2 linked regions of the Macaca fascicularis genome follow. The main gene of each other region encodes a partner of the protein of the gene in region 2 in a complex. Links are inferred from orthologs where the notes say so. Each region holds a gene or a part of one and is shown on either strand. Other genes may lie near its edges. The genes, in order: PTN and ITGAM.

Evidence for each region.
Region 1: the proteins of ITGAM (region 2) and PTN are in contact, whole or in part, in an NMR structure (PDB 8VOH), measured with the Homo sapiens proteins. The link is inferred for Macaca fascicularis from reciprocal best matches to the Homo sapiens genes ITGAM and PTN. Residues at the interface, in NP_000623.2 of Homo sapiens: Pro273, Asp276, Arg277, Gly279, Val280, Ile281, Arg282, Tyr283, Lys306, Pro307, Arg309, Asp310, His311, Ala334, Ile335, Glu336, Gly337, Thr338, Gln339; in NP_001308315.1 of Homo sapiens: Val56, Pro57, Thr58, Ser59, Asp61, Cys62, Gly63, Leu64, Thr66, Glu68, Thr79, Lys81, Thr82, Gln83, Arg84.

The regions. Positions count from the first base shown.
Region 1 is NC_088377.1:179,008,191-179,012,471, forward strand, and holds the start of PTN (pleiotrophin), read right to left. Parts: upstream 2,891-4,281; 5' UTR 2,637-2,890; intron 1-2,636.
Region 2 is NC_088394.1:29,463,383-29,467,746, forward strand, and holds the start of ITGAM (integrin alpha-M), read left to right. Parts: upstream 1-1,374; 5' UTR 1,375-1,464; coding exon 1,465-1,492; intron 1,493-3,161; coding exon 3,162-3,267; intron 3,268-4,364.

The sequences.
Region 1 (4,281 bases), on a different chromosome or scaffold from region 2:
GAACAAAGGCCATTGGAGGGCTCCCACTCAGCCTCATGCTCCAGAGAAAAGCACATCTCAAACTGGGCCGAGTTGCACTCAGGTGTGGAGGACGTTTGCACTCATCACATTGGGTGGTTTCAGTCTGGACACCTCCTTCCGGAAAGAAGTCAGGAACAACTCCCCATATCATTATGCTGCCATATTAAAAGGCATAATCGTTTAGAGAACTGGAATTTTTATTCCAAATTTAGACTTCAGGCCTTCAATCTATTGTTAATTTATCACACCATTTTCAACGAGCCAGGTAAACTCAGTTTTGTGGGAAAGTTTTGAATAGTAATTAAAAACACCACATCACAATGGGAAGATGATCAGAATTCATGTGAGAATGTCATATAAGTGAGAAAGCAAGAATATCTTCAAAGGAAAAATAAAATATTTGAAGTTAAAATATTTGATATCTAAGATTGATTTTATTTTAAAAAAATGATTCAACTATCTGGGGATCTTATTTCTCTCTGTTGTTTTCAACAACTAGGTTTTATGAAATTTTAAACCAGGCCATTGATTTGACTGAAATTTTAAAAACAATGAAAATGCAGATCTTGTTATGTGTTGCTATAAGTGAAGCCAAAATAAGGCACATGGAAAATATCAATAAATTAATAAGTTTATTATTCCAAATCTCATGATCTCATGGAAAGAGGTCTAAAAAACAGAGAATTATATATAATACATTAGACTATAAGTACAGTTAGGTATACCTTATTACTCTAATTCTCTACAATATCTCATTTAAAGTCAGATAATTAAAAAGTCATATATTTAATAGGGCTTTTATTTATCTCAAGCTCTAGCTTTGAGAACATAATGCATTTGCATCCAGAAGCAAACAGCTGGAACACAGCACCTAATGCTGTTATATGTGGCTTCAGGTGGGAGTTCCTTATAGTGACTTTTCACTAAATGCAGAAAAAGATGTCCTAAAGGGAACCAGTGAGCAGTGGCAGAGAAAAGATCACCTTCTATGTATTTAAAGTCCAATTAGAGAACTTAAGGCCCAAGTTTCTTAAAGCACAAAAGAATGGTATTAGAGTTGTTCTTTTTTTAAATAATACAATTTTTTAAAATCTCACCTTCTAATTTAAATGAAAGAGTACAAATATTGCCAGTCTGAAATAACTCATGTCCCAAAGGAAGCAAAGAAATTCAAATTTCCTCTGAATTTAACTGGACTATATTTTTTAAATGACTTGGCCTTTAAAGTGCATAATTTACTTAAAAGGAAACATAACGAAGATGGAAAACACAGCTTTATTTTCTGCACTGGGAGACTTCTGTTTTGTTTCATTGTCATTACCTTTTAATATTCCTATATATCAACGCATTCCCAGATAATTAAGGGGCTAACATGGGCCCTGCTGTTTCATCAATTCCACATTTGCCTACGATCATAAAATTGCTTCATTATGTTATTAGTTCAAAAGTTCTTTTTGGTAATTCCTGAATCTCCTCCCGTACCCCTCTCTCCAGCACACACACACACACACACGCACATGCACACATCACCCCTTTCTCAGGCTGCTAAAGCAAAATGCCTGGTGACTCTTAACATGAGAAATGTTCAAGGACTGGAGCTTTAATGTTCTCTCCTCTTAGGACCCCTATCCCTCCTATTTTCTGAATGTGTCCCCAAACTTACAAAGCAGCTCTTAATAGACACAAGGGTGAGTTAACACTAGAGTGTATATAAATTGCATGTATGTGTTCCTGTGTGTGTGTGTTGTGTTATGTCATGGAGAAAGGGGTGTGTGTGTGTATGGAGAGGAGAGAGAAGGCTTCACTTTACATCTATTAAGTAAGAAAGGAGTTGAATATATTCCTCTCAAAAAATATTTTCTTAACTTATTAGAAACAACAACTCAGAAACTCTAAAAATCTAGTAAATTAGTAACAAATATATCCTAAATTTATGTGGGTCAAATTAAAAGTTTAATGGGTCTATGTACAGGGCAGTTCTTTAAATTTGCATTCAAACGAGAGACGGGACTCCAGATGTGTCTTCTAAACTTCGGTTCTAACCATTTCTGGAACCATTCCTGGGCTGTCAGGTGGGAAGACGGGTGCCACTAGTGCTGTGAGAGAGGTTCCATGTCAGCGAGCACTGGGAGGAACAAACCCGCAGCGCTTACCTAGAAATGCCAGCTAAGAGTCATGGGCTGGCGGGCCCTGGGGCAATCAGAGAATCAGAGAGAGGTTGGGAAAATGAGAGCTGCTTGTTCAGGCTGCCGTACTTTCTCTCCAACTACTCAGCCAGAGACACACCTACTAAAGCTCCAGGTTTTACGAAAAGCAAAGATGCACTCTCCAGCCCACCGCTGGAACACGGTCCAAATGCACGCTTAACATCACAAAAACTTCTTTCCTTTCACTTACCTAAGCACACCCTAACTAACCTAACCTGAAACCCCCAAAATACGCCTCCCTTGGCCTCTGGAGCAAGTCAGTTTTGAAAGCAGTCCTATCAGCAAAGACACCGGGCAGCCTCTCTCACTCCTACCACCATCATGTGTTGGTACCCGGAAAAGTGGCACAAGGTGAAGGCAAACTCGATCGAAGAGCCCTCCGAGAAATCGCACATTCCTCTCACTTACTTTGAGTTGCAAATGTCCCCTCTGGCGCTCAGTCTGCCTTTGTTGCAAGGGGCGAGGTTGCTACGGCTGAGTCCAGGTACCCGGCTCGCTGCAGCTCCTGCTTGGTCTGCTGCTGCTCTCCCCGCCTTCTGGACGGATCACTGGTCTCTTTCTTCCCCTCTCTCCACTTTGGATTTTCCTCTGCTCTGGGGCTCTCTTGGCGGGATTTTTGGACTGGAAGGCGGGGAACCTGATCCTGCCTTTGACTCAATTACGCCCTGACAGGGAGGGAACGGAAGGGAAATGGAGAATGGGAGGGATGAGAGGAGCGGGCCAGGAGGACGCAGGCTGGGCGAGGGAGGGAGAGCGTTTTGCACTCGAGAGCTGATTGGGAAGCTTATTAAAAGCAGAATACTCCAGGGGCAGTCTCTCCCCGCGGAGCAAGAAAGAAAACGGATTTGAACCAAGAGGCCATGAGATGGTACCTTGTTTTGTTTCTAGCAGAGACCAAACACAACATTTCTTTTCCAAACTCCACCCATGATCTATTCTTCAGATGAGTGCAAAGCCACTTTGCCAAATAGAATATTTTAAATGGACAATTGATGGCATTTTAGGTTACAGTTTTGGCCCCCCACAATCCTTTAATGATATTCAGGATGAAAAAGCACTCTCTTCGAACCAGCCTCTTCTTCCACCCACGAAAGCCCTCCCTATACACAGAGGCAGTTACCCAGCTGTCAGTCACATCTCACCTGCAAAGCACAAAATGTACAAAGTACTTTTTCTCAATTGTCACAGAGTGACAGACGTCTGAAAGTTCCCAATTAAGTGCTACTTACCTTTAGGGAGAGCTCTTTCCTTTTTTGGTTTCCTTGGCACATTTAGCAACCTATTCAGTAACATGCCTTTGACACCCAAGAATTTAGAGGATTCGTCAATGTAGCTCAAACTCTGAGGTTTGTAAAACTTGGAGGCTGGACTTTGCATCTCTCTGGAATTTTCATTTCATTCAATTGAGGAAAGATGCTAAGGCAATGCATAGGTAAATATTTATGATATAGATGAGATAAAAGTATTGTGTAAAAGGATTAAGACGTATTACACAAATTCACCCAAACATTTTAAAAATGTAAATTTTGAGATTTTCTGCCACTTATCAGCTTTTCCTGCTCCTTGGTTAGTTCCTTTTACCCACTTTTACTGCTCAGCTTATCATTTGATGGCGTCCATCCCAAATTGCTTGTAAAAGAGACTCGCATTTTTCATAGTTCTGAGGTTACATCCATTCATTTCAATTTGACAAATATTTATTAAGCAACGTATTTACTTAGAACTATCCTTAAACCCCCAAACTAGAAGCATTGTCTTGTGGCAAGTAGTTTTTAGAGACTTGGGGCTCTTATATTGACTGCTACCTGTAGAAATGTCCCTTGGAGAAGTTAGCTGGAACCAAAGAGGTGGCTCTACAAACTCAATCAAGCAGTCAGTCAAGCTTTTCAAAAGGAACAGCATCAGAGATGCACTTACACACATACAGTTTATCCCCCTTCCCAAACCCTTCATACACATACCACATACAATTCTCAAATGAAATAACTAAATAAGGAAGCTGTGTTCCTTTCTTCTATACACAGGCTTCAGGTTACCTATTTTCCTTTTGTGA
Region 2 (4,364 bases):
TTTTGACTATACTTCTTAACTATTTCTTAGGATAAATTACTAGTAGTGAAAATTCTTGGGTGAAGAGCTTGAGGCCTTTAAAAAAAAAACAAAACAAAACACACACACACACACACAAAATAAGCTGGATGCAGTGGCTCACACCTGTAATCTCAGCACTTTGAGAGGCTGAGGAAGGAGAATCACTTGAGTCCAGGAGGTTGAGAACAGCCTGAACAACATAGCAAGATCTTGTCTCTACAAAAAATTAAAAAAAAAAATTAGCTGGCCATGGCATGTGCCTGTAGTTCCAGCTACTCAGAAGGCTGAGGTAGGAGGATCACTTGAGCCCAGGAGGTTAATTGAAGCTGCAGTGAGCTGTGATTATACCACTGCACTCCAGCCTGGGCAGCAGAGCTACACTCTGTCTCTGAAAAAAGCACAAAATAATACTTAAAAAGCACAAGGTGTGCCTGTACTTGAGTTGTCCTTGTATGGCTACAAATGAGGACTGCTCTGGCTGAAGGGCGCTCCCATTTCCATGGGCTGAACGAGAGACATTTTGCAAAGTGTGTTTCCAGGAAGACACAGAGTTTGACCTCCTACACTTGTTTGATCGGTATTAATGTTTGCTTATTTATTTATTTATTTTGAGACAGGGTCTCACTGTGCCACCTGGGCTGGAGTGCAGTGGCATTATTGGGGCTCACTGCAGTCTCAAACTCCTGGGCTCAAACAATCCTCCTGCCTGAGCCTCCTGAGTAGCTAGGACTACAGGCATGTGCCACCATGCCTGGCTAATTTTTTAAATGTATTTTTTTGGTAGAGACGGGGTCTCGCTCTGTTGCCCAGGCTGGAGTGCAGTGGTGTGATCATAGCTCACTGCAGCCTGGACCTCAGGCTCAAGTAATTCTCCCGCCTCAGCCTCTCGAGTAGCAGAGGATACAGGTGCGCACCACTGTGCCCAGCTAATTAAAAATATTTTTTTGTAGAGACAGGGTCTCTCTGTGTTGCCCAGGCTGGTTTCAAACTCCCAGGCTCAAGCAATCCTCTTGCCTTGGCCTCCCAAAGTGCTGGCATTAACAGGCATGAGCCACTGCGCCTGGCCCGTATTAATGTTTAGAACATGAATTCCAGGAGTCAGGCTAAGTCTGTTCAGCTTGTTCATATGCTTTGGCCAACCCAAGAAACGAGTATGTGACAAATGGCACCTTTTGGATAGTGGTAGTGACTTTGATGGTTTGAGCCAGGAAGCTGGGGAGGAAGGGTGGGCAGGCTGTGGGCAGTGCTGGGAGGATTGGGAGGAAGACCAGGCAGGGCTGTGTGGTCACTGAGCCTCCGCCCTCTTCCTTTGAATCTCTGATAGACTTCTGCCTCCTACTTCTCCTTTTCTGCCCTTCCTTGCTTTGGCAGCTTCCTTGGGGTTCCTCAGTGGCGCCTGCAACCCCCGGTTCACCTCCTTCCAGGTTCTGGCTCCTTCCAGCCATGGCTCTCAGAGTCCTTCTGTTAACAGGTGCATGGGGGTGGGGTGGGGGACTCTGGGTGAGGAGGAGGGGAACTTTTGGGTCTGTCATAAAGAGAGGGCCCAGAGTATGTAGGATTCAGTCTGGGGAGAGGCAAAGGGGATTGGGGAAGGAGAAAGGGTTCAAGAAGAAGCAGGGAGAACAGCTAGACCCAGACAGGCTGGCCAGGGAAGCCTGGATGAATGACCACATTCATGGACTGTGCAAGGCTGCTTGGTTGGTCCTTGCTTCACAGATGAGGAGACGGAGGCCCAGAGAGGAGAAGTGACATGGCCCAGGGTGCACAGCAAGTGTGAGACCCCCTTCCTGAGTACTTCCTCCTGGATCCCCTCTCACCATCTCCACTTTGCCTCCGGTTCCGTTTTCCAAGGACCCGGGTGCAAATGTTTGTTGAATGACTGATGAATCAAAACGATTTGAGTTTGTTTCCTTTTATGCTTGTATGTTGTGGAAAATGAAATTCTCCACAAAAGGGAAGGAAATGCTTGAGAGCTGCATAGGAAGGAAATTATCTAATTGAGAATGCATAGAAACTTCACTGTTGGGCAAATCATCATTGTGGTGACACTGGGGGAAGAGACCATTTGGGTGCTCAGAAGGGAGGCTGGAATTCAGAGCGGGACTGGACGTACCCCATGATGATGGTTCTTAGGTCAGGAGTCAGCGAACAGTGGCCTGGGGGCCCGATATGGCCCACCACCTGTTTTTGCACAACCTGCCAGCCAGAGGTTGAAGATGAACACTGACAATCGATTTGATCATAGGGAGCACCACCCCCAAAGAATTCTATTTGTCCCATTCATAAACCTGTATTACGAACAAATTGTACTTAATCATTACGTTTGGAATTTCCCTAATGACAAATTTGTGGACAAGTATTTTCTGTCTTGTTGTATGAGTACTTGTGCAACATATTCTATCAGCCTCTTGGCCTGCAAAACCTAAAATTTACTATCTGGCTGTTATAGAAAAAGTGTGCTAATCCCTGCCCCAGGCTATCAGAGCTGTACCTGGGAGGCAGACATCTGGATGCTGGGTTAGTTAGGGTGACCGAATGGACGGGAAGGGGAATGGAGCAGGAAGATATGCTGCTATCTCTTTTTTTTTTTTTTTTTTTTGATACAGGGTTTTGCTCTGTTGCCCAGGCTGGAGTGCAGTGGCATGATCATGGTTCACTGCAGCCTTGACCTCCTGGGTTCAAGCAATCCTCCCACCTCAGCCTCCTAAGTAGCTGGGACTACACGCACGTACCACTACACCTGGCTAATTTTTTAGTTTTTGTAGAGATGGGGGTCTCACTGTATTGCCTAGGCTGGTGTTAAACTCCTGAGCCCAGGTGATGCTTCCACATCAGCCTCTTAAATTATTGGGATAACAAGCGTGAGCCACCACGGCCAGCCATTGCTTTCTTTTAAATTATTATTATTATCATTTTGTGTGTGTGTGTGTGTATGTGTTTTATTTTGAGATAGGGTATCTCTCTGTTGCCCAGGCTGGAGTGCAGTGGCACAATCAGGGCTCACTGCAGCCTCAACTTCCTGGGCTCAAGTGATCCTCCTGCCTCAGCCTTCTAAAGTGCTAGGACTACAGACGTGTGCCCCTGCCCCTGGCTGGCATGCTACTTTCCTCTGTTTCACTCGTCCCCCATTCTCCCTTTAGCCTTGACCTTATGTCATGGGTTCAACCTGGACACTGAAAACGTAATGACCTTCCAAGAGAACGCAAAGGGCTTCGGGCAGAGCGTGGTCCAGCTTCAGGGATCCAGGTGAGACCCTCAGATGGAGCCCCCTTTCTCAGTGCTTTCTCTCCAAGACTTACATACCTGAAAAAAATCAGCGATTTCATTGAGTGATATTTTTGAATAGATAAATCAATTCAAAAGATACAATAAATTTATCTTTTGAATTTACAGTGTTCTAAATTCAAAAGATGCAAAAGGGTATAAGAGTAAAACTCTCTTCCTCACTCCCTTCCCCCAGTTCCCTTCCCAGGAGGGACCTGACGAATGGTTTCTTGTGTGTTGCTTTGGGGAGACTCTGTGTGTACATAACACATACACGTCCCTCCCTCAGCCAACACACCATGTGTAGCACACATTGTACTGCAATTAAGGCCTGCCTGCAGGCTGCTGCCTATTTTTGTGAATAAATTTTATTGAAAACAACCCCGTTCACTTGTCACTTACTGTTTATTGCACCCCCCGCCTCCCTCCCTCCCTTCCTTCCTATCTTCCTCCCGCCCTCTCTCATTCCCTGCTTCCCTCTTTCCCTCCTTCCCTCCCTTCCCTCTTGCCCTTCTCTCCCTTCCCTCCCTCCCTCCTTTCCTTCCTTCCTTCCTTCCTTCCTTCCTTCCTTCCTTCCTTCCTTCCTTCCTTCCTTCCTTCCTTCCTTCCTTCCTTCCTTCCTTCCTTCCGTTTCTTTATTTCTTCCCTTTCTGACATGGTCTTGCTCTGTCACTCAGCCTGGAGTGCACTGGTGCAATCATAGCTCACTGTAGACTCAAACTCCTGGGCTCAAGCAATCCTCCCACCTTACCCTCCCGAGTAGCTGGGACTACAGGCATGTGCCACCACACCTAGCTAATTTTTTGATTTTTTTGTATAGACGAGGTCTCACTCTTGCCCAATCTGGTCTCAAACTCCTGGCCTCAAGTCATCCTCTTGCTTGGGCCTCCCAACTTGCTGGGATGATAGGCGTAAACCACTGTGCCTGGCTATGGCCACTTTTGAGCTGTAATAGCAGAATCCAGGAGCTGTGATAGAGACTGTATGCAACCCAAAGCCTAAAACATTTACCTTTACAGAAATAGTATTTGTGGAGGCGATAGTACCTTTCCAGAAGAAGGGGGCTGGTCTCTGCTCTT